Linked DNA regions of Cricetulus griseus. The main gene of each other region encodes a partner of the protein of the gene in region 5 in a complex. Links are inferred from orthologs where the notes say so. Each region holds a gene or a part of one and is shown on either strand. Other genes may lie near its edges. The genes, in order: Nup153, Nup160, Nup85, Nup107, Nup98, Cetn2 and Nup205.

Region 1 (3,574 bases), about 170 Mb from region 5:
CTGTATACAAAATAAATAAATCTTTAAAAAAAGTCTTGAGGAAAGAGCTCATGCTTTTCTGTTTTAATTGAACCAAATACCCATGGTTGGAATGGGATACCTACAGATCTAATTTTGAGAAATACAGCTGTAATTGAATGTGCAGAATGGGGCACATTATATATGTCTTAATGTCATTTGGACACCTTATAGTTGATGCATGCTGTCAGGGAAAAATCTTATGTTGAATTTTAGTTTACAAACAATTACCGATAATGAGTGAAAGTGAGGAACATAGAGAGTAAATATAGTTTAACTCTAAGAAATCAGGTAATTTGGGGAACTAGAAGGGGATACAAAAGCCCATTAAAAAGCTAAAGAAGGAAAAAAACTAGAGAAGGTTGTTGAAGTAAAGCCTTTTGCTTATGGAATAGTAGAAAGAGCATCATCTAGCTCATTATTGTAATGGGGTTTCCCAGAGCAGTGTTAAGGATGGACAGCTGCATCTGTAAGTGACTTTGAAATTGAATGATATAGGGAAACACTAAAACATTGACATAATGGTTCCTGTGTATAAAATAAGACACTGAGACTGGAGAGAAGGGCTCGGTAGCCATGCATGCTGTTCTTTAAAGATGATACAAGTTTGGTTCCCTGTGCTCATTTCAGGTGGCTCAAAACCACCAGTAGTACACACCACACACAGAGTTAAAATTTAAGATAGACATTGACCTTAAAAATGGAAGTTGGCCATTAATCAGTGGTAAAAGGAACACTCTCCAAGGCTTGTGCAAAACCCGGGGTTTTATCACGAGCACTAAACAGTGCTCTACAAATGAAATAACCTTGAATCATTGTGTAACTAGCCAAATTTGATCACACATAAAAGCAAAATGTAGCTATTTTCAGGCATGCAAAGATTGTAAATTGGACATGTTACTTGGAAACAATGAATAATAATCAACCCTAAAGTTGGAAATTCACATAATGGTAAGTTGTTTTTTCCTACTTGATATTTACTTGGAAATTTAAGAACAACCTACAAAGAAAATCAGAATTAAAATTATCATTGAAATGGGAAAAAAATGAGATGCTCTAATCATATTTGACCATGAACTCTTAATTTCACCTGTAGCAGTTGCCCATCCCATCTCTTGTGTACTGTTGGAGCTGAGATACTGGGAAAGTAGAAAGGAAAGTTTGTCAGATTGTAAACTCATCATTACCGTGTAAAAATCAGAAGGTGTCCTCTAAGTTGGTAGTCAGTAGTTGTACAGCATTTACATGACTTGTATTTTTTAATTATTCTAATTTACAATGGTGGTAATGCTGAGTAAATGCAGGAACATAGAAGATGAACTCATTCATGGGAAAAGTATTTTGTTCCCTTCATTTCAGTTCTTAGTTTTTGTATATCTTGTGAAGCTAAGTTACTTCAGCAGTTTGTAGGGAAAGTGAATGAACAAGGAATTTGAGAAGCATGCAGTGACAGCAAAGGGAATAGATGCACACATTGTTAATTTAGGGTTCCACAGAGTGTACTAGGTAGCAAGGGTTAGCAAGTGCTGAAGGGAAGTCAGTGCTGTGAGGAGGTTGATTTGTCGATTTGTTGATGTGGATAAAGTTAGGGTGCTGCTGCTATAATATGACAAACTGTACAGTCAAAACACATAAAAGTGCATCTAGCTTCTACTGTATGAATTTCTCCTTCCTCCTCCCTCCTCCTCCCTTCTCCCTCCCTCCCTCCCTCCCTTCCCTAATATGAGTTCTCTAACTGCATGTATGCCTTCATGACAGAAGGCATCAGATCCCACTAGAGATGGTTGTGAGCCACCATGTGGTTGCTGGGAATTAACTCAGGACCTCTGGAAAGAGCAGCCAGTGTTCTTAACCACTGAGCCATCTCTCCAACCCAACTGAATTTGGTTTCTGAATACAGTATCAAGTTAGATTTGGATGTGAGGCACTGTGTATTTCACATTAAATTTATATGCATAGACTTGTTATTTGAAAGTTGAAGGTCTTTGTATAAAGAGAAAACCCATAAACCATAAAAGATACACACTTTGATATTTTAAAGTGTTAGTAGATGTTTATTTGATGAGTCAGACTGTATAAAAATAATCTTAATTTATATTATAGAAAAAAATTGTTAGGCAATTTGTTTTTAAGGTTTATGTTTGTTTCTCAATTATTATTTTGCAGATCAAGGTGCAGCCAAGCCAGTTTTTAGCTTCTTGAACAGCAGTTCCTCTAGTTCAAGTGCACCAGCAGCCACTTCATCCAGTGGTGGCATATTTGGTAGTTCCACCTCTTCCTCCAACCCTCCTGTGGCAGCCTTTGTGTTTGGCCAGGCCAGCAATCCTGTCAGCAGCTCTGCCTTTGGTAACTCTGCAGAGTCCAGTACATCTCAGTCCTTGTTATTCCCTCAAGATAGCAAGCCAGCCACCACATCCAGCACTGGCTCAGCTGCCCCTCCCTTTGTGTTTGGATCAGGAGCCAGCAGCAACAGCACTGCATCATCGGGGTTCAGTTTCGGAGCTACCACATCAAGCTCTTCAGGTACTTTAGTAATAGGAGGGGGAAAAGTGGATTTTGTAGTTGAATTGGATTTGCTATAAGTGTGCCAGTTGTAGCACATTCTTGCAGGTTCTAATCTGTCTCGGGTGCCTTGAGTGCCTCAAAGTCACCTACATGTAGGATGTTGCAAGTTTCCACCTGTGGAGAAATAGCAGTTTATGTTCAGGTTATATATGCGTTAACTCTCAAGAACAGTTCTTTCAAGCTGGGCTTGGTAGTACACGCCTTAAATCCCAGCACTCAGGAGACAGAGGCAAGTAGATCTCTGTTACTTGAAGGCCAGCCTGGTCTGCAGAATAGGTTCCAGGACAGCCAAAGCCACACAGAAAAACACTGCCTCAAAAGGGCGGGGGAGGGAGAGTCGGGGGAGGGAGAGGAGAGAGAAAAGAAAACCTAATTTCAGGAAGAATATATAATTTTTCTAAGTTGCTTTTTGGATTGTCAAATTCCTAAGCAGCCAGATAGTGATAGTGGTGATAGTGATATATGTGAGCTCTCTCATACAGTGTACCCAGAGGAAGCCTTATATGCTGCATCATTTTAGGAAGGAATTGTTGAACCTAAGTACTAAGTAAGTTCCAGACTAGCCCTGTCTTAAGTACATTCCTCCTCCTAGTAGAAGATTGTTGGTTGCAATAGTGGAGAGTTTGTTATTTGAAGTTTTTGTTAAATTAGTGTATGTTTTAGTAAATAGTGTCATTGGTCTAATCATCAAAGCTTATGATCAAGGTAAGAGTCTGAAAAATGGCCTGAAATTGGCTTGTGGGTTTACAGAGCTTTTCAGGAGTAATCTCACTACAAACCTGGATGTTGTTGATTTAAGTGTTTCTTGGCCTCCAGGATCCTCCTTTGTATTTGGCACTGGACATTCAGCACCATCTGCCAGTCCAGCATTTGGTGCTAACCCGACCCCAACATTTGGACAAAGTCAAGGTGCCAGCCAACCTAACCCTCCAAGCTTTGGCTCTATATCATCTTCAACATCGTTGTTTTCTGCTGGTTCCCAGCCTGCACC
Region 2 (3,574 bases), on a different chromosome or scaffold from region 5:
TTCAAGGCCAGCCTGGTCTCCAGAGCGAGTGCCAGGATAGGCTCCAAAGCTGCACAGAGAAACCCTGTCTCAGAGAAAGAAAGAAAGAAAGAAAGAAAGAAAGAAAGAAAGAAAGAAAGAAAGAAAGAAAGAAAGAAAGATACCTTGCAGAATTGTATAAAGTGGCAGGCAGTATCTGTGATAGGTATAATGGGCAGCGCAGGCAGTAGAGGTGATTAGAATTATGAATTTAAATTCAGACATAATGACTGTCGACAGAACATTTTGGCTCCCTTGTTGTGACTTGGATTTAAATTAAGCGCCCTCCTTCCCCTCCCACACATGCTGCTGCCAGTTGCATTTGTGTCTTATCAGACAGAATCTATTGAGTGTCAGTTCTGATTCAGATACTTCTCTAGGTCTGCAGATATCCAAGTAAACATGGAAGTTACCTCTACACTCAAAGTACTTATTGCCATTTATTCAGAAGCTCTCCTTGAAGAGTAATAGTGCTCAACATGCAGCTATTTTTATATTTTTAAGAATATTAATATTGACCTTTACACAGCAAGAGCAAAACTCATAAAATTGCTATTTTTAAAATATGCTAAAAAGTAATAGAAAGAGAAATGTGCTTATTTATTGTTTGTTTGGTGCTGTAATGTGCATGGATACCTCGTTCCTGAACAAGTGATGGGTGGAGTTAATTTTTATGTAGTAGAATTTACCTTTTGTTTTTGTTTTTCAGGACAGGGTTTCTTTGTGTAGTTTTGGAACCTGTCCTGGAACTCATTCTGTACACCAGTTTGGCCTTGAACTCACAGAGATCCATCTGCCTCTGTCACCCAAGAGCTGGGATTAAAGGCGTGAGCCACCATCAACCAGCAGTAAAATTTATCTTAAGTAAAGTAGGGACTAAGAAAATGGGATGTATATTTAACGTTGCTGTAATGATATTTAGATTTTGTTACACTGTTTTCCTAAGTCTACATAACTTGTCCTTAAATGGAAAAGTGGTCTGAGCCAGACATGGTGGTGCACTCCTTTAATCCCAGCTCTCAGGAAAACAGAGGCCGGTAGATCTCTGAGTTGGAGGCTAGCCTGGTCTATGTAGTGAGTTCAGGGCAGGCAAGGCTATGCAGAGAGACCTAGTCTCAAAAAGAGAGAGAAGAAAAGTTACCCAAATTGTCTAATCTTTTCAAATTTGGAGAGTTCATTAAGGCACTATTATCGTCTATTTTATTGCGGTAGTCATTGAGAAAGAAAAACTTTAATTAAATCTCTCTTTTAACAGGAAGACTTCTGGGGATACATTGGAGCTGGTGGAGGAATCACTGGACATAAATTTGTTGAATAATGCAGTTCGCCTAAAATTCCAAAATTGCAGCATCTTACCCAGTGGAGTTCATGTCTCTGAAACTCAGAATCATGTGATAATCTTGATATTAACCAATCAGACAGTGCACAGGTTAATTTTACCACACCCTTCCCGTATGTACAGAAGTGTAAGTTGATTGTTGTGTGCAATAACTTGTTTCCTATATTATGCTAGCTATCACAGATTTAGGACTGGAATGATATCTTTGAAATGGAAAGAATTTGGATTCCTTGTTAACCAATCATTCTTTATAGTTATTGTTTGAAATAATTAGGCTTGGGGATGTTATTCAGTCATAGAGTATTTGCCTCTCATGAACAAAGCCCTGAGTTCTGTCCTCATAAGTCTAGCTTGTGCTTGTAATCCTGCTACTGAGGAGATGGAAAGAGAAAGATAGAAGTTCAGGATCATCCTAGAGTTCAAGGCCATCTTGTGCTTCATGAGGCCCTGTCTCAACAACAAAAAGATTAAACATTCAAGTTGATAAAATAGTTTTCTTTCTTTAAAAAGGATAGTTTTCATTAGGTACTACAGTATACATCTGTAAGCCATTAACAGGGAGGCTGAGGTAGGAGGATTTAAGTCTCAGAGCAATCTCAGCTGTACAGAGGAGGTTCCTGGCCAACCTGGGCTACATAGTGACAGCCTGACTAGCAGGGACGGGGGGAAGGTTTTTTGTTTGTTTGTTTTGTTTTTAAAGACAGGGTTTCTCTTTGTAGCTTTGGAGCCTGTTCTGGAACTCACTTTGTAGACCAGGCTGGTGCCTAACTCGAAGAGATCCAATGCCTGCCTCTGTTTCCCAAGTGTTGGGATTAAAGGCATGTGCCACCACTGCCTGGCAGGGAGGAAGCTTCATCTCATGCTCAACAATTTTTTTTGGAACATTTGTTTTTATACCTATGAGTGTTTTGCCTGTATGCATATAGATATACCAGATACATGCAGTGCCTTTGGGGGGCAGAGGGCATCATATCCCCTGGACCTGGAGTTACAGGCAGTTGTGAGCTACCATGTGAGTGCTGGGAACAAAACCCAAGTCCTCTCTAAGAGCCACAGGTGCTCTTAACCACTGAGCCATCCTTCCAACCCATCAATATCTTTTTAAATAAACATTTTTAGTAATTGAGAGGAACTCAACAAAATTCAGGTTATTTCAAAACAGATTCTTTTTCATTACAGGAGCTGGTAACTGAAAGTCAAATGCAGTCAATATTTACTGACATTGGAAAAGTTGATTTCAGAGATCCTTGCAACTATCAGTTAATTCCAACAGTACCTGGACTGTCCCCAAGTTCTACCACCTCTGCAGCCTGGCTTAGCAGTGATGGGGAGGCTCTGTTTGCTCTTCCGTCTGCTGCTGGCGGCATCTTTGTTCTTAAACTACCTCCTTATGACTTACCTGGTAAGAATGGGAAAGGAGCATGAATTTATCTTTAGTTGTCAATGTTGACATTAAAACAGGCATTCCATCACATCCATTGTCAGTGTAGGGGTTGAGTCTGCATTTTTCCTGCTTTCATTATTTCTTGCTTGGTCCCTGCTGCATACCTTTATTCAGTGGATGAGGAACTAGATGGGATGCTGGGTATGGGAAACAGATTACATGTATATTAGCCTATTCTAAGTTCAATAGTAGACATAAATTATTAGTTGTTCCACCCTCATACTGAAGTACTGTATTTACAGAGAATGAATTTTGGGACCAAGTTTGACAACTGATCCCTGTTCCAAGTCACCACTGTCTCTTGCCTACATTATTGGATTAATGTCCTAAATGTCTCCAGATCTGCCCTCCCATTTCAGGAACTTCCCAGGCAGATTGATATAGTAAACATTGGTTAGGGGAGACTAGAGAGATAGCTCAGCAGTTAAAAGCACTGCCTGCTCTTCCAGAGGACCCGGGTTCTATTCCAAGTACTCATATACCAGCTCATAACTGTCTGTAATTCCAGTTCTACTGGATCTGATGCCCTCTTCTGGACTTCAAGGGCATCAAAGTGTCATGCTTATATATTTGCATGCAAAACACCCATACACATAAAAAGCAAAATCATGTTACTTCAGTGTTCATCATGATCTGAATAAACCCAGTCTCCATACATTGGCTCACAGTGAGTGCCCCGTTGTCATCTCTAACCTCATTAGTTCATTCTTTTCCCTTGCTCTGTATACCAGCTACATGCCCCTTTGTGGTTCTTTTTTTGTTTTTCTCAAGAC
Region 3 (4,367 bases), on a different chromosome or scaffold from region 5:
ATGTGAGCTAACAAGCCAGGAGCCTTGTGGTAAAATATAGACTAATAGAAATAGGTTAATTTGCTGGGCGTTGGTGGCGCACGCCTTTAATCCCAGCACTCAGGAGGCAGAGGCAGGTGGATCTCTGTGAGTTCGAGGCCAGCCTGGTCTCCAGAGTGAGTGCCAGGATAGGCTCCAAAGCTACACAGAGAAACCCTGTCTCGAAAGAAAAAAAAAAAAAAAAAAAAAGAGAAATGGGTTAATTTAGTTGTAAGAGCTAGTTAATAAAAGCCTAAGGAATTAGGCCATACAGTTTATAATTAATAAAAATTAAGCCTGCAGGTGGGTTATTGGGGAACCAGCAGGCAGAAGAGAAACTTCTAGTTACAGAGTATAGGCTGCTCTTCCAGAGGATCTAGGTTCAACTCCCAACACCTCACATGGCAGCTCACATATGTAACTCTAATTCCTGGGATCCAATGCCCTTCTTTGGCCTCTGCAGGCACCAAACACACAAGTAGTGAATTAATATGCATGTAGCAAAATACTCATACACAGAAAATAAATTTAAAACATTTTCACATCAAGTGTAGCAGTTCACACCTCAAATCCCAGCACACTGGAAGCTGAGGGGGGAAGATGTAGAATTCAAAACAAACTTGGGCTACATAGCAAGACTATACAAATTCAAGCCGCACTATAACTATATTAGGGGACCCTATCTCAAAATTACAAAACAAAAAGTTTCAAAAATAAAAATGTTGCCAAATAACTACTGTTTCTGCCCCCAGGTAGTCAACAAATGTGCAAAGACAAAATGAACAAGAACAAACTACCTTTTTTGCTGAAGGAAGTTTCACACAGGAGCATCTCCCCGGGACCCCAGTCAAAACACATTTGCTTCTTTTTGGAATTCACGCCTGGAATCCACTAGTAAAACATAAAGCACAGAACTGTTATCCTAGAAGGGGTTTTCTTCTCCATCCATGTGTAATCATCAGGCTGGGCACTGTGAGCACTCGGGGAGCAGCGGCAGGTGGGTCTCTGAGTACCAGGTCAGCCTGGTCTACACAGCAGGATAGCCAGGGCTACAAAGAGAAACCCTGTCTCAAAAGACCAAAAAGGAGGAAAGGAAAGTCAGCCCTGACTGATCTTCCAGAAGACCCAGGTTCAATCCCAGCACCCACTTGGCAGCTCACAACTATCTGTAACTCCAGTTTCAGGGGACCCAACACCCTCATACAGATATACATATAGGCAAAATGCCAACGCACATTAAGACAGTCCCTACATAAGCAAGGCAGTCTGACTGGGTACCCCAATCCAGTTTGTCACTTCTCTCTCAAGAAGCAAAGCCCAGAGTGGCAGAACACACCTGTATCCCAGTACTTAGGAGCCTGAGGCAGGAGCATCACTAAATTCAAGGCAAGCCTAGGCTACCGAAAGGGGAAAACAACAAAAATACTTAACTATGTTAAAACAAACTCCCATCAGCCTGTGCCACCTCTGCAAACCATGAGTCTAAATGTTTCTCTCCAGTTTATACCAATCCCTTTGAACCTTGGATCAGATCTAACTATCCAAGCCATACAGATATGGGCTATTCAATCACTTAAACCCACAAACAAGAACCAAGAAGAAAAACTTCTCCCCTAAAAGATAATTTATTCACGTGCCTACGAGATGACTCATCGGTTAAGAGGACTAACTGTTCTTTCCAGAGGACCAGGGTTCAATTCCCAGCACCCACATGGCAGCTCACAACAGTCAGTAACTACAGGATTCCACACCCTCACACAAACATACACACTGGCAAAACACCGATTAAAAAAAAATTAAAAGGATAATTTATTCACAAGACAGACAAAAAAACAGGAGATACAAGTACCACTTGCTCCCACCGGGTTTTTTTTTTGTTTTTGTTTTTGTAAACAAGGGCCCAGTTTCTCCCATCCACTTCCCAAGTGCTGGGGTTATGCCCTTGCTTTTGGAGAATGGTCTTGCAACCTAATTACCAAGCTAGCCTCAAGTGATGAGTCCCCAGCCTCAGGGTCCAAAGTCCTGGGCTTAGGCAGGGGCATCATAATACCTGGCTAAGAACTTATCACAGATTATCCACATTTGACAAAACGGTGCTGGAGAGGGGGCTCCCGAGGCTAACTGTGTTTAGGGTTCTTGCAAAGGACTAGAGTTCGGTTCCCGGCTAAAAAACACCTGTAACTCTAGCTCAGGTGGTATCCGACGCACACACGTTCTTAAAAATATTTTTACAAGTCCAAGCGAATAGAATCCAAATCGACGGAAACTGGCAGCCCCACAGTCTCCAGAGAGAACAAATGAGGTATCTATTAAGCCTCGGGCCAGCACCACAGGAGAGGGCGACGCTAACTGAGCTCTCAGAGCGGCGATGTGGGACTTACACCGAGCTCGCTCCAACGCCCGCGGAGGAGAACTAGACAAACAGAAAGATCAGAACGGCAGGGGATGCAGTGGGGCCTCCGGGGCCCGCGGAGAAGTCCCGGGAGCTGAGCTGAAGCCTGGGGACCATCACCGCCCCCACCCAGCTCCCCGTTCATCTGACACCCGGGACGGTGCCGCCGCGTCCCGGGCAGAAGCGTGCGTGCGTCCCGCGGCTCGGAGGGAAGGCAAGCCTGTAGTGACCCAAGAAGCGCAGCCTCACAATGCGACAAGCAAGCCTGGCTCTCGCGGGCGCCCTTACAGTTATTGCGGGCTCGCAATCGAGCTCCTCCATTGCGCTGGGGCACAGCGGACCGGACCTCGCCGCGCCGCCGCCGCCGCTCTCCGCTCAGGCCTCCCGCTCACAGCCAGCTGCCAAAGAGGACCCCACCAGGGCGGCTTCCGCAGCGCCTGCGCAACCCAACGCAGCAGAGCCCTGCTTCTCAGCCGCCACCCAGCCCTCTGCAGCCGCCCATTCATACACCACCACCCTGCCGGGGACAACGCCTCAGGAAAAACCGCGCAAGGGGCCACCCGTCCTCACGGAAGGCTCCCACCGAATCAGGCGGCGCCGAGGGCACTCCCACACCTGGCAGGGAGAAGGCCCCCGGAGATGGCGGGAGAGACGGCGGCCGGGAGGGGGCGCGCATGCGCGGTCCTCCGGAACGCGTCTCCGGTTGGCTTCTTGGGAAACGCGCGCTCTTCCCGCGGGGCGGCGGGCGCTCCCTGCTCATCTGCGCTGTCAGGGCTTCCCGGCCCCGCGCCGACCGCCGTTCTTCTGCGCTCGCTCAGAACGGCCGACTAACACCTGCAACAGGGCACGGAACGGGAAGGGGGCCAAGCGGCAGTCCCGGCGCCGGGGAAGTGGAGACGGGAACCCCGGGGTCCGGGCCCGGCCGGAGGGTGAGCTCACACCACGGCTCAGTGAGACCGTCTCAGAAGACCAGCAGCCCCACAAGGTGTCCAGGAAATAAAGGAAAATCCCTTGGCCGTCAAAATTTCGCCCAAATCCTTGTCGCGGAAATCAGCCCTAATGTTGTTAACATTTACGGGGCTGGAGTGTTGGGTCCCTGGGTAAAGCGCCCTGGCTGCTCCTCCGAGGATCCCGGTTCATGTAAAACAACAGATCCCATGCCCGCTTCGCCAGACAGACAGACAGACGCGGGACACAGACACGCAGGGAAAACACTGGTATACACACAATGAAATAATTGTTTAAAATATTAAATTTACTGTAATTTGTATTTTAAATGAATAACTCATTTTGTTTTTCGAGACAGGGTTTCTCTGTGGCTTTGGAGGCTGTCCTGGAACTGGCTCTGGAGACCAGGCTGGTTTCGAACTCACAGAGATCCACCTGCCTCTGCCTCCTGAGTGCTGGGATTGAAGGCATGCGCCACCAACGCCCAGCATTTATATTTAATTTAAAAAATATAAATTAATCGTTACGAAAAACATAACGATTTACCACATGTATTTTGCTACCTTTTCCAAAAGTTTCACAGTGTCATTATAATCACTGACTCCAACAGTATATACATTTGGGGTGGGAGAAAAGGGGGTTCAAGACCGGTTTTCTATGTAGCTTTGGAGCCTGTATTAGAACTTGCTCTGTAGACCAGGCTGGCCTTGAACTCACAAAGATCCTCCTGCCTCTGCCTCCTGAGTGCTGGGATTAAAGGCGTTTGTCACCACAGCCCAGCCAGTTACACGCAAAAATAATAAAAATAAATTTAAAATAAAGGGAGCCCAGTGGTGGCACACACTAGTCCTAGCACTTGTTGGGGGTGGGGGGGTGGGGGGTGGGAGGTAGAAGCAGGCAGATCTCTGTGAGTTGAAGGCTAGTCTGGTCTGTAAAATGAGTTCCAAGATAGCAAGGGCTGTTACCCAGAGAAACCCTGTCTCATTCAACGATAACAACAACAACAAAA
Region 4 (4,084 bases), on a different chromosome or scaffold from region 5:
AGAGGAGCTGTGTTTCCCCAAACCTTTTCTATGGTTTTTTGTTTGTTTGTTTGCTTTTTGTTTGTTTGCTTTTTAACTATTCCATGAGCTCTTGATACCCTTCCAGTACTTTTTTTTTTTTTTGCTTAAGTTAGACATTTCTGTCATGGTGGCCAAGCACCCTAAACAAAAAGCTAGTATGTATACAATATACACCCATACAGGAGTTTATTTCACAGAAATTTAAAGTAATCAAATGTGTATCATTTAAATATTTTAGGGTGCATTTTGATGTTGATGTCTGTAAGTTAAAGGGGTCAGATATGGTCCAGTGGGCAAGAACAGTAAAGAAAGTAAACATGACCATTCCATTAGGGGTAACATTTTGTTATGGGTAAGGAAGAGAAATGATCCAGAGGCAAAACTGGAAGAGTCCAGAGCAGAGAGAAAGAGAAACAGACTATGGACAGGCCTAGGGAAGATGGGGTAGTCAAGATAGCCAAAGATAGAGTTTAATGACAGGACAGCAAAGAATAGAAATTATTTGGGGGTGGGGGTTGGAAGGAGGACAAATAGCTATCAAGGAGGACCCCATTTGAGGATGGAAAACCTCAAGTTCCAGAGGGATGCTGGCTTTTATCTAACAGCCAGAAATCCTATGGTTCAGGTTGAGCTCATGTGGAGGGCCTGAGACCTAACACTCTGAGATGCTGGAACAGGTTAAGTCTCTCCATGCTTAAAACTTTTGAAAAATATTATATATATATATATATATATATATATATATATATATATTTGGTTAGGATCTTATTCTTAGTCCAGCCTGGCTTCAAACTCATGGTGATCCTCCTGCCTCAGCCTCCCAAATGTTGGTATTACAGGAGTGAGCCCATGTGGCATTTATGCACTGCTTTTAATTTTTAAAAAGACGGCTGAATCTGTAAAGGGAAAATAAATAACAATGATAGAAAACAACTAACCCGCCCACTGAGGCTACACCACAAGCGCCCGAGACAGGCCCGTGTCTGTGGAGTGTTGCGGGATGCCAAGGAGGAACGCCAAGGCGGACTCCATCGGAACCCCAGTTTAGCCACTTCTGGCTTCTCAGCAGGACGCCCCACCCAGACCACGCCCACAAAGGCCGCTCGGGGCTCCGCGCCAAGCCCCGCCCCTTCCCGCCCCCTCCCAGCCTAGCTGGCACCGCCCAGTCACGCAGGCACGCCCTGGCACACTTTGGCGCCTGCGCCTACTCGGTCGACGATAACTGCGCATGCGCCAAGTAGGAACACTTTCTCCGTTCCCAGTACTTTTCGCAGGGGCTGGCTGAATCAGGGGCATGCTTCCGGGTCGAAGGGTTTACTTCCGGAGAGCGGGAAGGCTGAAACGCGGTGGCGGCATTGCGGGCAGATTTGCGAGGTTCTAGCTGGCGGAGGCCGCAGCCATGGACAGGTGAGTCCTGGGGACGGCTGGGCCAAGACTTGTGGCTCTCGCCGGTTGGCGGGACGACGTGGTGAAAGCGGAGGAGGAGCCGAGGGTTGTACGTTCACTCCTTCCTTCTCCCTACCTGGGATTTGTTGGAGGAAAGGCCACTTGGTATGGGGGCAGCCAGGATGCAGAGGATGCAGATCCCCGCGTTCCACGCCCCGGCTCCGGGGTCTGTTGGGCGCTCTCTCGCCGCCGTTCGCCCCGAAGTGGGCGGGGTAGGTAGGTAGTGGCGGCCCGGCATTCGAAATGCTAAAGTGAGCAGGCAGTCCGAGGTCACTGCCGGTGAGCAATACTTGACATCTCAGTACTTTGCAAAGTGGCTTTATCGTGGCTATTAATACATTTCAGTTGTACGTTAGTACACTGTGATCAGCTTAACTTGAAGAGCCAGCACCAGGTAGCTGATTTTTCTCATGTAATCTGGTGATTATGCTCGCCTGGGACAAGGATGGGTTGGTTATTCCAGTCGCTTGGCATCGAGGAACCGATTGTGTAGTGAAGAGAGCCAAGCAGGGTAATACTGTGTTATACTGTTCTGCGGGAAAATAAACAGAGGGGACGTTAAATTCCCCGTCACAGGTGTGTCAGGGAAACCTGTCAAAGGTAACTTGCTAGCTGGTACTCCTGGTAGAAAGGTTTAAGGTTTGGCTGTTGGAGTGACCTGTCCTTTGACTGACTCAGGGTCCTTTGCTCTAACTGCAGTGATAAAGTTGTTTTCGTAAATGCTGCCCAAAAGCTTAATTACACTATTTTAGGAGTGGCTTTGTGGAGATGCCATCCCCTGTGATCCGGGAGGCAGAAGTGACAAGGACTGCAAGGAAGCAAAGTGCTCAAAAAAGAGTTTTAAGTATCCTTTGTGTTTTAAGAATTACACAAATTGCAGAATGCTTTGAATCAATGTTGCAGGATTTTCTTTGAGTCATTAGACATTAACTGTGGTAAAAATTGGCTTATTACCTCCATGGGTATTTTACTTGGATACACACTCTGGATGAACTTCAGTGAGGTTAAGATTTCTGTTTCTCTGGTTCCCTACTAGTATGTCATGGTGCTAACTAGTAGTCAGTACATATTATCTAACTCTGATCTGAGAGTTTAATTGACCGAAGGAATTAACTACTATGTACACAGGAAACGTGGTAGCTGTAAAATGCTTTGTTCTTGACAAAAATGTATTCATGCATCTTGTGTAGTAAATCTATTGTTATCGTTAGTAATTTTTTTTTCTCAACATGGAAAGCTTTCCTTAATTCTTCCCAAAGTTCAGGCCAACCAAGATGAAAATTTTGGTAATACTACACCAAGAAGCCAAATTATTCTTCGAACTCCGAGCTCATTTCGACAGCCTTGTAAGATTTTTGTTTCTGCTTTTAAAGTATTTAATAGAGTAGTAGTCATAATATCAGCTAACATTTATATAATTTGCATAATGAAATATGTGGCAACAGTATCAGGAACTAAGCATAGATAATAATGGTTATAGTTATCTGAACTCTTATGAATAAGGACTGTACTTTATATTAATACATAGTAATGGTGACATACTGTTAGTTCTCCAAACTAGAAGGTGGACTTGGAGGAGCCAGTGGGAGTGAGTGGGTGCTGTTATTTAGACATTGAAAACAGAGTTCAAATAACAGTCTGGTTTGCTTTAAAGTCCAGGCCCACTACACTCACTGTATGCCTCATTGTGCTCTCTGAAATCAGACAATGAAGGATCTGCTGACTGGTGCCACCTTGGTTGTTTTAATTTTAAGTCTGTGCAGTTAACATTTATATTGAAAGTATCTTTTATAGTAAAAAAAATTTAGTAGTAGTATGATAAGCTCAACTTTAGAAAAATAAGCTAATTCTTCCATAACATAAACATTTTAAAGTGTTTGATCTGAATCTAAATAATTGAAAATTGAGAAATTGTTCTTTCATATGTAAGTGTGGGTGTTTCATGTTCATGTGTATGTAGATGCATGAATATATACATGTTCCTGATGAGTGTCTGGAGGAGTGTGCGTGTGCCTGTGTGTGTGTACATGCACATATGTGTGCACACGTGTCTCCAGGTGAACCTTGGGTGTTAGTCCTTGGGAGCCTTTAAGACAGTTTCCCATTAGGACCTAGGGCTTTCTGATTAGTCTAGACTCTCAGGGTCTCCTGTGTCCTCTCCCTGGCACTAGGATTACAAGTGTGCACCTCTGTTCCAGAGTGTCTTACTAGATGCTAGGGATCAAACTCAGGTCCTCACACTTGTACCACAAGCACTGTACTGGTGGAGTCATCTCCCCCATACCCGGGAAAATATATTTGTTGCTGGTCTACTTGCTCTGTGTTTACAGTTCCTGGCCTTTCACTTGTTACCCCACCAAGCCGAAGCTTACTAAGACACCCAGATATTTCCTGCATTCTCGGAACGGAAGGGAAGTCTCCCCGGCACACACAGTCTTCTGGGTTCTTGGGAAATCTATCCATGGTATGTAGAAATAAATAATGCACTTAAGTATTTGGCTTAAAAGCCTTTTAATGCGCCGGGCGTTGGTGGCGCACGCCTTTAATCCCAGCTCCCAGCACTCGGGAGGCAGAGACAGGTGAATCTCTGTGAGTTCAAGGCCAGCCTGGTCTCCAG
Region 5 (3,574 bases):
TACAGCGATGGCACACTCTAATCCTTGCACTAGTGAGGCAGAGGAAATGGGATCTGAGTTCAAGGACATCTTGATCTACATATTGATCTATATAGATCAATATAGCCAGTGCTATATTGTAGCCAGGTGTGGTGGTGAGACCAGCCTGGTCTACCTAGTGAGTTCTAGGACATAAGCTACATAGTGACTGTGTCTCAAGAAATCAAAAACAAAAGTAATTATTGTAAAATCGGAATATCTTCACCCTTAGTGGTTTTTATTGCTATGGAAGAAATAAGCTGTTGTTTTAGAGTCTTTTTCTCCTTGTTTCAGTTGGTGGGTTGCTGCAATCAAAATTTGTAAGTGGAGCTTTTCTTTCACCAAATGCCTCCATGCAAGAATGTCGAACTCCCAGAACATCATCTCTAATGAATGTCCCATCCACATCCCCCTGGTCTGTCCCTCTGCCACTGGCCACTGTGTTCACAGTGCCCAGCCCAGCTCCTGAGGTTCAGCTGAAAACAGTGGGGATACGCAGGCAACCAGGGCTAGTCCCTCTTGAAAAATCTGTTACATATGGCAAGGGGAAACTCCTGATGGACATGGCTCTATTCATGGGACGTTCATTTCGGGTTGGTTGGGGCCCCAACTGGACTCTTGCTAACAGTGGAGAACAACTACATGGCTCCCATGAACTGGAAAATCATCAGATTGCCGATTCTATGGAATATGGATTCCTGCCCAATCCTGTAGCTGTTAAATCGTAAGTTATGTTTCCTGGTGCTTTTTGCGAATGACATTGTAATTGGGGGCTATTCTTATTTTTTTATACTACATAACAAGTTTATCTACATTTAGGATGAATTAAATGAATATGATTACTTATTTTTGAAGGTGATTTTGGAAAAACAAAAATCAGTGTCTTGAACATCACAGTTAGGAAAATCCATTCTAAATTTAATGATTGACTCTAGATGATGATATAAGATTTTGGAGATTATTAATATCTTAAACTGCATCAAGGTCAGGCTGTCTTCTGCTCATCTGAACTTAAGAGTCTTTCTAGACATGGGGGCACATACCTGAATCCTAGCACTCAAAGATATGCAGAAATGATCACAAGTTGTAGGCTAGCCTGAGCTATATAGCAAGAATCTAAGAACCTATCTTAGAAACTCAAGTGCTAGGATATAGCCCAGTAGAATAGTGGAACCGCACTTCCCTAGCATGCCCTGGCTTCAGTCTCTAGCCCTTCATTTAAAACGAAAACAAACAAAGGAATAAGTAATCTAGAATCTGGCCATGTGTGGTGGTATACACCTATATAATCTAGTCACTTGGGCAGTGAAGCCTGGAGAATCAAAAAGTTAGTCTTTATAACTCTTGACATCAAAGTAATTGCAAATTAGGTATTCTATAATAAAGCTTTGGCCTTTGAATTTTGTAGTGTCATCACAAGCAAGTGATGAAACCACTAACTACTGATTCCCACCCACACTTGTACCTTGATCGGTGCTCTGTTGCATTACAGTTCATTCGTCTATCCTACATTTGTTCAGTGAGTTTATACATGTTGACAGTATAAATGTTTCTTACTATTTCAGTCCATCTCCAATTAGTCTTTTTAAGATTTAAGAAGCAAAAAAAGAAAGAAAGAAGTTTCCAGACACTTGGCTGTTAAAAAAAAAAAAAAAAAAAGATTTAAAAAGCTGAGGCTATAAAGGTGGCTAAGTGGCTGAGAGTATTTCCTGCTCTTCAGAGGACCCATGTTTGGTTCCCAGCACCCACATTGGGCAGTTTTGCTGTAACTCAGTGCAGGGTATCTGACACCTGCTCCTGGCCTCTTCAAGCATCATTTGCCTCAGACCACAGCTTGCACACATACACTTAAATAAAAATATATCCCAAAAATCATTTCTAAAAACAGAAATAAGCTCTGAGAGCTGCAAATATAGCTCTGTTGGAATGCTTCTTATTCTATTGGAAGTCAGCAAAGAAACAATAGCTGGTATAGGTAAATTTCACCTGTTTCTTCATTTTCTGACTCATCCGTTGTTTCTTCCAGTCTATCTGAATCCCCATTCAAAGTTCATTTGGAAAAACTCAGTTTGAGACAAAGGAAGCTGGATGAAGATCAGCAATTATACCAGACACCTCTGGAGCTCAAGTTAAAACATAGCACTGTCCATGTAGACGAGCTGTGTCCTCTCATTGTCCCCAATCCTGGAGTTTCAGTCATTCATGATTATGCAAATTGGGTTAAGGAATCACCCAGAGATTTACTGGAAATACAAAGTAAGTACTCATCATGTTGCTAACCTTTGACATCCCAGGAGTCATGTTGACAGTAGCATGTGTTTCTAGGAGACATATTCTTTATAGGTATAAGGTGACTTCCTGTGCTTAATGAATTTCTGCAACTCACCTGGGACAAGAAGAAAGAAATTATGAGTTACCATTTGTAATTATTCTTATGCAACTTAAAAGCCTTTAGTTAGATTGAAAAAGTAATAGTAGTGTCATGAGAGTAGGTGAAAAGAAACCCTTTAACTGACAAATGACAAAGACATTTAGTAACATTGCTTAAAGTTCTATGTAGGAAGTTTAGATTTGTAATTATCATTGTGTCAGGAGATCTGCATTTGTTATTTGCCCTCTATCATTATTGGCATGTGCTAACTGTGTGTGTGTGTGTCTGTCTGTCTGAACATAATTTGATCATATTCACCCTCTATTATAACTATTAATTAACTTTATCCCTTCTGTATCTCTGTTAGTCCTTTTTACACTCATGTATATCTGTCTGTCTGTTCTTTTGTTTTTTGAGACAAGGTTGCTCTATGTAGCCCTAGCTATCCTGGAACTCAATCTATAGACCAGGCTAGCCTCTAACTCTGTCTTCCAAGTACTGTTAAAGGCATATGCCACTAGCATAGATTTCCTTTCTTTTTTTTAAACTTCCTTTTTCCTAAATTCCACTTGTAAAAGAGAGCATGGGATACAGATTTGATTTGATTTTGCTTGGAGTCTGGCTTATTTTGCTTACCATCCATTTACCTGCAGATGGCCTAGTTTAATTCTTCATGATTGCTCAGTAAACCTCCACCATGTGTATCACCCACACTTTTTCTATCCATTACCTCTGTTGATTGAGATCAAGAGTGATTCTCTAACTTGGCTGTTGTAAATCATGCTGCAGTCACAGTAGGTGTTCAGATATCTCTTTATGAGTTGACTTTAATTCTTTGGGATAAGAGGTTATATGGCTAAATCACACTGTAGTTAGATTTTAATTTTTTCAGGAACCTCCATACTGGTTGCCATAGTGACTGGACTAATTTACGTTTCTAGCAACAAGTTGAAATTTCCTTTTCTCTACAAGTCATCAGCCAGTATTTGTCTTTTTTTTTTTTTTTGGTTTTGTTTTATTTTTCCTTGATGTTAATCATTCTAACTGGGGTGAAATGGAATCTCAAGGGTTTTTTTCCCCCCCCTAGTGGTTAAAGATTTTTACTTCATTTGAAAAGTGTTAGCTCATTTGCTTAGCGATTTATTGATTTGTTTGGTTTTATTACTTTTTTTCTTTTTTAGTTAT
Region 6 (4,158 bases), on a different chromosome or scaffold from region 5:
CCTGATCTATATAGGGAGTTCCTGGACAGCTGGGGCTACACAGTGAGACCCTAGCTCAAAACAATGACAAAAAAATTATACACATCTGTGACAAAAATTCTCAAAGAATTAATCAAAATATTGTATTTTTTCAAAGTTCATGGGGCTGGGTAAGGTCAATGCAGGAAGAGTTTATCAGTCATGAAAGCAGTGTCTTGGGTGGGAGTTAGCCAGGGATGAGGAGGTGTGTACCAGTGTGGGTATGATAGGAGGAGTTGCATGCCAGGGAGACTTTGGTGATAAATCCAGCTCATAATGTTGATGAAGGGCTGGGAAGAAGCCGAAAAAAAGAAAAGACACTTCAAAGGCAGAACTGAGAGAATCCAGGGGCTGGGTATGGGGGATTGCTGCTAGAGGGAACAGAGTGGTCGAATGGGATACAAAAGTTTTGAATCTGGTTCATGGCTCCAAGGAAGGAAGGTAAACGGCCTACATTACATTTATAGTATGCTGTTAAGTTTCTCTGGCCTTTGTCAGTTTGAGAAACTGATGCTATGGCATTAATGTCCCCAAACTAATATTCTATGCCTTGAGGGAAGCATGTGTGATGGTTGAGGTACTGCTGTAGCTGACCGTGGACCTCCATTATTTCTGGAACAGTTCCAGGTAACACCACCCCCCCCCCTGCACACATTTCTGTTTAATGCTCTATGCATCCAACATTTCCAAAATCCCTGTAGCTTTTCTTTGAAGGAAGTTTCATCCAGGAATGGTCCTTCTCATGTGACTTTTGTGTCTGCACGTTCTAAAAGGGCACATTCTGATGACTTTTCTAGACCCAGAAAGTCCCCAGTTCATCATCTTGAGAACTACATTCACAAAGACTCGCCTGCATTGAGTTTCTAAGTCCCAGCCCCGTGAACCGCTGATACAACAGTCAGCATGCCCACTCCCCTTTCTAGGCCTCAGCTGCCCCAAATAGTCACCCCTGCAACCCGTTAGGCCAAATCTTTCCTGGCCCCATAGATAGTCTGTGTTCCCATCTCGGGTTTTACCATATCCCACCCATTCTCTCTCATTGTCTCCCGGCTCTTTTGCTCACACGCAGCAGCCTCCATGAGCAAGGCCGCAACTCTTACCCGGTTTAGGCACTCTTGCAGTCGACTTCAGCTTGTTAGCAACCTGCAACCAGCGAACTTCAACCCAAGACCAGACACCCTTTTCTACGGAGAGGTATGGGCCCATGATCAGCCGAGCTTCCTTCCTCACGTTGATTGGTCTAGCGCGGGTCCGGCGCAGCCAGTTGACGCTCACAGCGCGATTTTGTCCAATGAGATCGTCAGTCCTTGCCGCCACCACACTGCCCTCTTACCCTGGGGCGGACCTTGCCAGGTTAGCCCCACCTTCTCCGTCCGCAAACCAATGGGAAGCGGGTCGCGCGCGCGCAGAGCAGTGGGAAAGGCGCCGAGGCCGCGAGTACGCGTTGCCTTAACAACCGGTCGCGGAGGAGTCCATTCGGCGATGGTAAGTGCTGGGCGTTCCATGGACCCTGCGTAGTGCCTCCGAGCCCTTCCTAGGCCTCATTGCGGCCCTGCAGCCTTTCCTGCATTCTTCTTCGCTTTGGCGTACTAGTTCTTCCTTGGAGCTCTATGCCGGAAGGGTAGGAGAAAAAGTACAGCCTCTGGCCGCTAGCCTGCCTGCGCTTCAACACTTAACCCTCCCCGCCCCCAGTCACCTTCAGTCACCCCTAATCTGCCTGTTGATCTCTGCTGGTTTTCCTGGAACCACAGGTGACCATTCTGTTGCAGGTAACACTCAGGCTTCCCACAGACTCAGACCTCAGACAGACACAGGCGTCCTGGCCGCTGCCACCTGCTAAAGTTTATGCGTGGTACTAAGAGATTTACTATGTTCTGATGGTCACAAATGTATTGAGGCTTTCAGGAGATGCTTTGAGCTTCGCAGACAAGGCACCAAGTGCTAAATGGATTGGGAACTAGCATCCTAAGTTGATGTTTTAAGTACATGTCTAGAACTCAGATCCCCAGATTCACAGACAGTTGATATCTGTTAAGTATGCATAATTAGTTTCTCACCTAGCTTTCTTTCAGGATGAAAAATAAGGGGTTTCCTGGCCTCTAAAATCAATATTTTTTAAAGAGTCAGAGGTTCATAGAAACATTAATTGTTCTTTCCAGGAAACTTCCTTATTGCTCAATTTATTAGGCAGATCTTTAGAATCAGTTGGTATAAATTATTTTTCCATTAATCAGCTGTCTGAGTTAGCAGTGGCATTAGAACAAGGAGGGATCTTTTTTTTCATCTTTGGTAATGAAAACTTAAACCACACCGTGTTGCTTTAATTGAATATACAATATAGAAATTTGTGACAATCTATTCATAATAAAATTATAAGTTTATTACTTACAAACAGATATGGTCTCAAATTTGCTGTTTACTAGCTTTAGAAAAGAAGGAGAAAATGCAAGCATGTTGAACCTTTAGGTAAACATGTTATTCTCATTCAAAGAGTTTTTAATGTTGCTTTTTTTTTTGTTTTTTTTTCGAGACAGGGTTTCTCTGTGTAGCTTTGGAGTCTATCCTGGCACTCGCTCTGGAGACCAGGCTGGTCTCGAACTCACAGAGATCCACCTGCCTCTGCCTCCCGAGTGCTGGGATTAAAGGCATACGCCACCAACGCCTGGCTAATGTTGCTTCTTTATATTTAAAAGTTTTTGATTTAAGAAATCTTGATTTAAAAAATTTAATTTTCTAAAGTGACATGTCTATTAAAGGTACAAATGAATACACTATCTGTAGTATAAACTTGAAGACAGTGGAGGCCAGAATTATATCCTGTGATGAAAAACTGGTCATGTTAACACCAGAAATTCATATTCATATATTCATTTGCTCTATGTTGATCTATACAGGGACAAGGAGAAAAATGTTAATATATTATTTTAAAATGAAAAGTCCCTTCAGGCTGCTGGCTCCCCAGTGAAATATAATTGGATTTAATCATGTGAGACATTACATTATTAACAGAAATGATGTTTTAATTTACAGTTATGGTAGAACACAGTCATTTAATTAGTGTATTGCTGATTTTCTGTTTTTTACAATGTGATACTAAAAGCTAAAATATACTTATTAAAGGGGTTTTAAATTAAAGAGAGTTTTTCTATTTTTCTTCTCAGGATTTTTTTTAGAGTTGGGGTTAATTTTACTTAGTTTGAACCCTTGTTATTTGTGTAAGGGAGAAGGGGACTCAGTCTGAGCATGAAGGTCAGAGAACAACTTGGAAGAGTTGATTCTCTCTACCATGTAGGTGCTGGGTTCTCACTTATGTTGTCAGGCTTGGCAGCAAGACATCTCACCAGCTTATGAAAGTTTATAGAATGACATGTACATTACTCAGAGTGGAGCATAAATGAAAAATTTATGAATGTCTAGAACTGTCATAAATAAAATATGGACTATGGCTTATAATACTGTGCTTCTGTGTTTGTATAATGTCTGAAGGCCTCTACTTTTAAGAAGACAAACATGGCATCCAGTGGCCAGAGAAAAAGAATGAGCCCTAAGCCTGAACTGACTGAAGAACAGAAACAGGAAATCCGGGAAGCTTTTGATCTCTTTGATGCTGATGGAACTGGAACTATAGACATCAAGGAACTAAAGGCAAGCTGCACACATTCCTGTTTTGGTGCCTTGTGTTTCCTTGTTGTTTGTCTTTTACCTATCACCTTTCTCCCTGTAAAAAGTAACAGAAAAAGGTACCCTGTGTATATTTAACCTGAAACAATGATCTAATGATAAAAGTTGATTGCAAATATCAATTAAATCAGCTTTACAGTGTTCCCTAATCATTTTCACCATTTTGTTATTATCATCAATAGCCATTTTTGCGTCTACATCATTTATATGTGTTTATTTAGATGATCCTGTTTTCGTTGTAGGTTGCAATGAGGGCTCTGGGCTTTGAACCTAAGAAAGAAGAAATCAAAAAGATGATAAGTGAAATTGATAAGGAAGGGACAGGAAAAATGAACTTCAGTGACTTTTTGACAGTGATGACTCAGAAAATGGTAAGTTAGTTGAGATAATGAGCATACTTCCCATCCATAATGGTAGATACATGGGAATCTAGACATAAAAAGAACTTCATCCAATAAA
Region 7 (4,285 bases), on a different chromosome or scaffold from region 5:
CTTTTTATCTTTAGCTTTGGCTATCTGCCCTCTCTTGACTTTTTTACATTTCCACCATCCATTCTTGCCTCTGTCAATTCTTATGGTTTCAGTACCTCGTCACCCTGTGGGATCTTGGTTGCTGAATCTGTTGCTGTGACCACTACTGCCGTTCCCTGTCACCTTTGCTTCTTTCACGGGTCTGCTGTCACCTCAACTCTCCTGTTACCAGCCCAGCATGTCATTTTAATCTTACAGATTAAAAAATAGATTTTATTTTTGAGAGAAGCCCTTTAATGGTCTTAAGGATACAACAACAAGGGGCAGTACAAAAAGGGTGTTTCCCAGATGACTTCAAAAGAGAGCCAAACAGCGGGCTTGTATAACCAGAAAGGGTATACAGTAGGGGTTTTGCACCAATCATGGCACAATACTTTATGCATATAAGTAATTATGATCGGTACCAATCACAAATCCTCCGATGAGCCAACACCAGGAAGAGTGCTCCTCCTGTAGCCTGGCTAAAAATGACTGCAGGGTCATTTAGAGTTCAATTAGAGTGGGACAGTGGTGGCACACACCTTTAATCCCAGCACTCGGGAGTCAGAGACAAGGGAATCTCTGTGAGTTCGAGGCCAGCCTGGTCTATAAAGCTACACAGAGAAATCCTGTCTCGAAAGGAAAAAAAAAAAAAAAGGTTTTGAATAATATCTCAGTGTCAGAGTACTTGATTAACATGAGCTAGTCCTAGGTCCAGTCCTTGGTACCGTAAAAATAAATAAACTCCTGTGAAAACATAGAAGTTAGCAAACTAAAATTTAGCAAGTGCGTTTAGTGATTTTGGTTGCTTAGGTAGAAAAACACTTGGTGTTTATGAAATTGTGTCTGGAATTTGCTTCAAAATAATGTTGGGGGCGAGGAAGCAAACGGGTGACATTTTTGAAATCGGGTAGATAGTGTTCATATTTTGTGGATGTCTGAACGTTTCATAAAATGCAACGTCTACACAATATACTTACTAAATAGAAATGCTGTAATAACTTCTACTCCCTCAAGGTAAGGGAGATATTCAAATAACATTTAAGTCGAAATGAAGGTAATTGTTTGTCTTTAGGAATTTTATGAAACCATAAGTGGGTGTCTCTTGAAGAACTTTTTTTTTTCTTACTATTCCACTGATGTACGTTTTCCACACCAGTCAACTTCAGGTCTCCCTGGAAATAAACTACAGGTCCCAGGATGCACTGCACGGTCCATCTCCGAGCCGGTGGCCCTCGCCTCCTTTGAACGAGAATGGTCGCCGCGAGAATCTGCGGCCGTGGGTCGGAGCAGAGTCTGGAGTCCTGCGTCCACCCGCCCGAGCGTCGCGCGCGGTGCTCAGGCGACCTCGGGGCGCCTTTCTGTTCAGGCGCCACCGCGGGCAGGCCCTGCGGCCCGGGGTCCTCCCCGCCGAGGGAGGGCTCCGCAGTCCTCCTCCAAGATGGCGGCGCTATTGGCGGTCAATTCTGGTGAGCGCGCCTGGGCGGCCGTGGGGTGTCCACGGGAGACCCGCAGGGGCCGCGGGGCGGGGCGGGGCCTGTTCGGGCGTGGGGCGGGGGAGGGAGGCCGCGCGGCGAGGCTCTTCCGAGTGCGAGCGCCACGCCTGCCGGCTCGCGCCCGGCCCGCGGCCCCGCGTCTCCGCGGTTTGAATGGCGCGCGAAGGCGCGGCTGCGGCCCGGCCCTGGAGCAGCGCTTTCCGAGCGGAGGCGGCGCGGCGGGGCCGGGGTGAGTGTGTGCGTGCGTGCGAGAGTGTGTGGGGCGCGCGGCCCGGGCCGGCTCCTTCTTCCCGCCTGGCACCCTGCGAGTGTGCGTGTGTCTGTGTGTGTGCGTGTGTCTGTGTGTGCGTGTGTGTCTGTGTGTGTGTCTCTGTGAGTGTGAGTGTGTGCGTTTGTGTACCTGTGTGTGTTTCTGTGTGTGCGCGCGCGTGTGTGTGTGTATGTGTACACTTCATTGATTTGTGACATCATATGCGTGGGCTTCATATGCGTGGGCCTCATGCGTGGGCCTACCCTTCGTGTGTGTGTGCGCGCGCGTTTGTGCGTGTGTGTGTCTGTGTGCGTGTGTGTCTGTGTGTGCGTGTGTATACCTGTGTGTGTTTCTGTGTGTGTGTGTGTGTGTGTGTACACTTCATTGATTTGTAACATTATATGCGTGGGCCTCATATGCGTGGGCCTACCCTTCGTGTGTGTTCGCGTTTGTGCGTGTGTCTCTGTGTGTGTGTGTGTGTGTGTGTGTGTGTGTGTGTACACTTCATTGATTTGTGACATCATATGTGTGGGTGTACCCTTTGTGTGTGTGTGTGTGTGTGTGTGTGTGTACACTTCATTGATTTGTAACATTATATGCGTGGGCCTCATATGCGTGGGCCTACCCTTCGTGTGCGTGCGAGTTTGTGCGTGTGTCTCTGTGTGTGTGTGTGTGTGTGTACACTTCATTGATTTGTGACATCATATGTGTGGGTGTACCCTGTGTGTGTGTGTGTGTGTGTGTGTGTGTACACTTCATTGATTTGTGACATCATATGTGTGGGTGTACCCTTTGTGTGTGTGTGTGTGTGTGTGTGTATGTGTACACTTCATTGATTTGTGACATCATATGTGTGGGTGTACCCTTTGTGTGTGTGTGTGCTCCCGTGTGCACTGCATTGATTTGTGACATCATATCATGCTTGCCCCCCACAAGTAGATACATAATATACCACTAAAACTTTTTAGAGCCTTGGCTTCCGTGTTGTAGCTGTGTTACATGCACTTTTGGCATATAATATCCCTATGTTAAACTGAACCATTGAGGGAAAGAAGCCGTTGTCAGTACTCCCAGGAGTACACATTGTACAAGAGAGCTTTAATTGGCAGCAAGAAAAGCAAGCATTTAAAAAAGCCAGGAGCCAAGAGAGTTATTTTCTTTTTATTTGTCATCTTTGGGAAGAGCTTAAGCATTTATAGATGAATGGATGGATAAACGAAACATGATGTGCACACAAAGGACTAACTTCAGTATTAAAAAGAAAATCTTGTCACGTGATACACGGAAGACCTTTGAGGACTTTAAGTGAAATACAACACATACACAACAACAACAAAACAACTACACTTACCAAGTGTAGCTACTGTAAAAACAACAACAAAAAAGTAGAATTAGAACGGCAGTTGCCAGCGGCTAGAAAAGTGAGAGATGATAGTGATATTTAAGGAATAGAAAGTTTCAGATAAAAAAAAAAGTGTGTGTGTTGGGGGGTACTCTTATGATGTAGCCTGGGCAGCTCAGAATAGCCTTAGAGCATCACATCCCTCCCTCAGCCTCTCATGTGCTGCGTGGTTGGTAGTTACAGGCATGCACCTCCAGGCCTGCCTTGGCATTTCACTTTTGCAAGATTAAAAAGGTAACACTGTGTTGGTTGTAACACCTGTGTGAATATGCTTAATGCTGCTGTTCACAAGAATAGTTAAGTAGCTATTGTTTGCCATGTTTTCTATTATTTCTGTAGTCACAACAACTTAAGTGGTGTGGAAGGAGAAAAGGAGGGTTGATGACTATAGAGTTTTTTTATACCTGTTGGGTATAACTGGCTTACACTGTTGTGACCTATCATGCCCACCAAGTAGTTACATTCCTAAGCTTGTAAGCAGCTAGTGACACTGCTAGACAACCTGGCCACCCCTGCTTAATTCACAGTGGGGACTATTTCATACCCTTTCCACTTCTCAAACCTCTACCCTCCAATGGACCTAGAGAAAGAAAAAGCGAGCAGCATCTATCTTTTCACTCTCGTGTCTGAAAATCTAGATACTTCTGCACATCGCTTCCTCCTGCGACCTTGCCAGTGGTAAATCTCACCCTTTATGCCCTTCCTCTGTTACTCTCTGTTTCATGTGGCTTCCTCCTGCTCCATTTTCCCAGCAACCTGTCTTTGCTTTCATCTCATGTTCACTTATTTACCATGCTCTTGCTTTTCTTCATTGTCAAACCTTGTAGGGGATTGTCAGTATGCATTCACTGGCTCCCTTTCCACACTTCCTAGTGTTGCCAGCATTTAGTCTGTTCTTATCCTCCTAAACAGCTCTAGTTAGGGTTCTGTGTTCTGTAGTTCACCAAGTTTAGCAGATGTTTTATATTGTGTGTAGAGTCCAGAAAAGGGCATTAGAGTCACTGGAGCTGGAGCTCCAGGTAGTTGTGAGCCTGATATGGGTGCTGGAAACCTAACTTGGACTCTTTGTAAGAGCAGCACTCTTAGCCACTGACCCATCCCTGCAGCCTCAAATTTAGC

The links.
Region 1: Nup98 (region 5) and Nup153 share a complex: the UniProt entries of both Homo sapiens proteins name them as parts of the nuclear pore complex. The link is inferred for Cricetulus griseus from reciprocal best matches to the Homo sapiens genes NUP98 and NUP153.
Region 2: Nup98 (region 5) and Nup160 share a complex: the UniProt entries of both Homo sapiens proteins name them as parts of the nuclear pore complex. The link is inferred for Cricetulus griseus from reciprocal best matches to the Homo sapiens genes NUP98 and NUP160.
Region 3: Nup98 (region 5) and Nup85 share a complex: the UniProt entries of both Homo sapiens proteins name them as parts of the nuclear pore complex. The link is inferred for Cricetulus griseus from reciprocal best matches to the Homo sapiens genes NUP98 and NUP85.
Region 4: Nup98 (region 5) and Nup107 share a complex: the UniProt entries of both Homo sapiens proteins name them as parts of the nuclear pore complex. The link is inferred for Cricetulus griseus from reciprocal best matches to the Homo sapiens genes NUP98 and NUP107.
Region 6: Nup98 (region 5) and Cetn2 share a complex: the UniProt entries of both Homo sapiens proteins name them as parts of the nuclear pore complex. The link is inferred for Cricetulus griseus from reciprocal best matches to the Homo sapiens genes NUP98 and CETN2.
Region 7: Nup98 (region 5) and Nup205 share a complex: the UniProt entries of both Homo sapiens proteins name them as parts of the nuclear pore complex. The link is inferred for Cricetulus griseus from reciprocal best matches to the Homo sapiens genes NUP98 and NUP205.

What each region holds. Positions count from the first base shown.
Region 1 is NC_048596.1:266,381,798-266,385,371, reverse strand, and holds part of Nup153 (nuclear pore complex protein Nup153), read left to right. Parts: intron 1-2,184; coding exon 2,185-2,541; intron 2,542-3,399; coding exon 3,400-3,574. UniProt on the Homo sapiens protein: Component of the nuclear pore complex (NPC), a complex required for the trafficking across the nuclear envelope. Functions as a scaffolding element in the nuclear phase of the NPC essential for normal nucleocytoplasmic transport of proteins and mRNAs.
Region 2 is NC_048599.1:86,086,728-86,090,301, reverse strand, and holds part of Nup160 (nuclear pore complex protein Nup160), read left to right. Parts: intron 1-1,273; coding exon 1,274-1,484; intron 1,485-2,536; coding exon 2,537-2,759; intron 2,760-3,574. UniProt on the Homo sapiens protein: Functions as a component of the nuclear pore complex (NPC). Involved in poly(A)+ RNA transport.
Region 3 is NC_048600.1:128,156,084-128,160,450, reverse strand, and holds the start of Nup85 (nuclear pore complex protein Nup85), read right to left. Parts: upstream 2,844-4,367; 5' UTR 2,732-2,843; coding exon 2,699-2,731; intron 910-2,698; coding exon 816-909; intron 1-815. UniProt on the Homo sapiens protein: Essential component of the nuclear pore complex (NPC) that seems to be required for NPC assembly and maintenance. As part of the NPC Nup107-160 subcomplex plays a role in RNA export and in tethering NUP96/Nup98 and NUP153 to the nucleus.
Region 4 is NW_023276806.1:138,571,319-138,575,402, forward strand, and holds the start of Nup107 (nuclear pore complex protein Nup107), read left to right. Parts: upstream 1-1,273; 5' UTR 1,274-1,420; coding exon 1,421-1,428; intron 1,429-2,219; coding exon 2,220-2,311; intron 2,312-2,726; coding exon 2,727-2,813; coding exon of another isoform or gene 2,814-2,838; intron 2,839-3,797; coding exon 3,798-3,931; intron 3,932-4,084. UniProt on the Homo sapiens protein: Plays a role in the nuclear pore complex (NPC) assembly and/or maintenance. Required for the assembly of peripheral proteins into the NPC. May anchor NUP62 to the NPC. Involved in nephrogenesis.
Region 5 is NC_048596.1:97,239,806-97,243,379, forward strand, and holds part of Nup98 (nuclear pore complex protein Nup98-Nup96), read left to right. Parts: intron 1-312; coding exon 313-742; intron 743-2,044; coding exon 2,045-2,274; intron 2,275-3,574. UniProt on the Homo sapiens protein: Plays a role in the nuclear pore complex (NPC) assembly and/or maintenance. NUP98 and NUP96 are involved in the bidirectional transport across the NPC. May anchor NUP153 and TPR to the NPC.
Region 6 is NC_048604.1:2,886,970-2,891,127, forward strand, and holds the start of Cetn2 (centrin-2), read left to right. Parts: upstream 1-1,356; 5' UTR 1,357-1,401; coding exon 1,402-1,503; intron 1,504-1,508; exon of another isoform or gene 1,509-1,639; intron 1,640-1,658; exon of another isoform or gene 1,659-1,787; intron 1,788-3,504; coding exon 3,505-3,663; intron 3,664-3,941; coding exon 3,942-4,070; intron 4,071-4,158. UniProt on the Homo sapiens protein: Plays a fundamental role in microtubule organizing center structure and function. Required for centriole duplication and correct spindle formation. Has a role in regulating cytokinesis and genome stability via cooperation with CALM1 and CCP110.
Region 7 is NW_023276806.1:192,769,100-192,773,384, reverse strand, and holds the start of Nup205 (nuclear pore complex protein Nup205), read left to right. Parts: upstream 1-1,459; coding exon 1,460-1,487; intron 1,488-4,285. UniProt on the Homo sapiens protein: Plays a role in the nuclear pore complex (NPC) assembly and/or maintenance. May anchor NUP62 and other nucleoporins, but not NUP153 and TPR, to the NPC.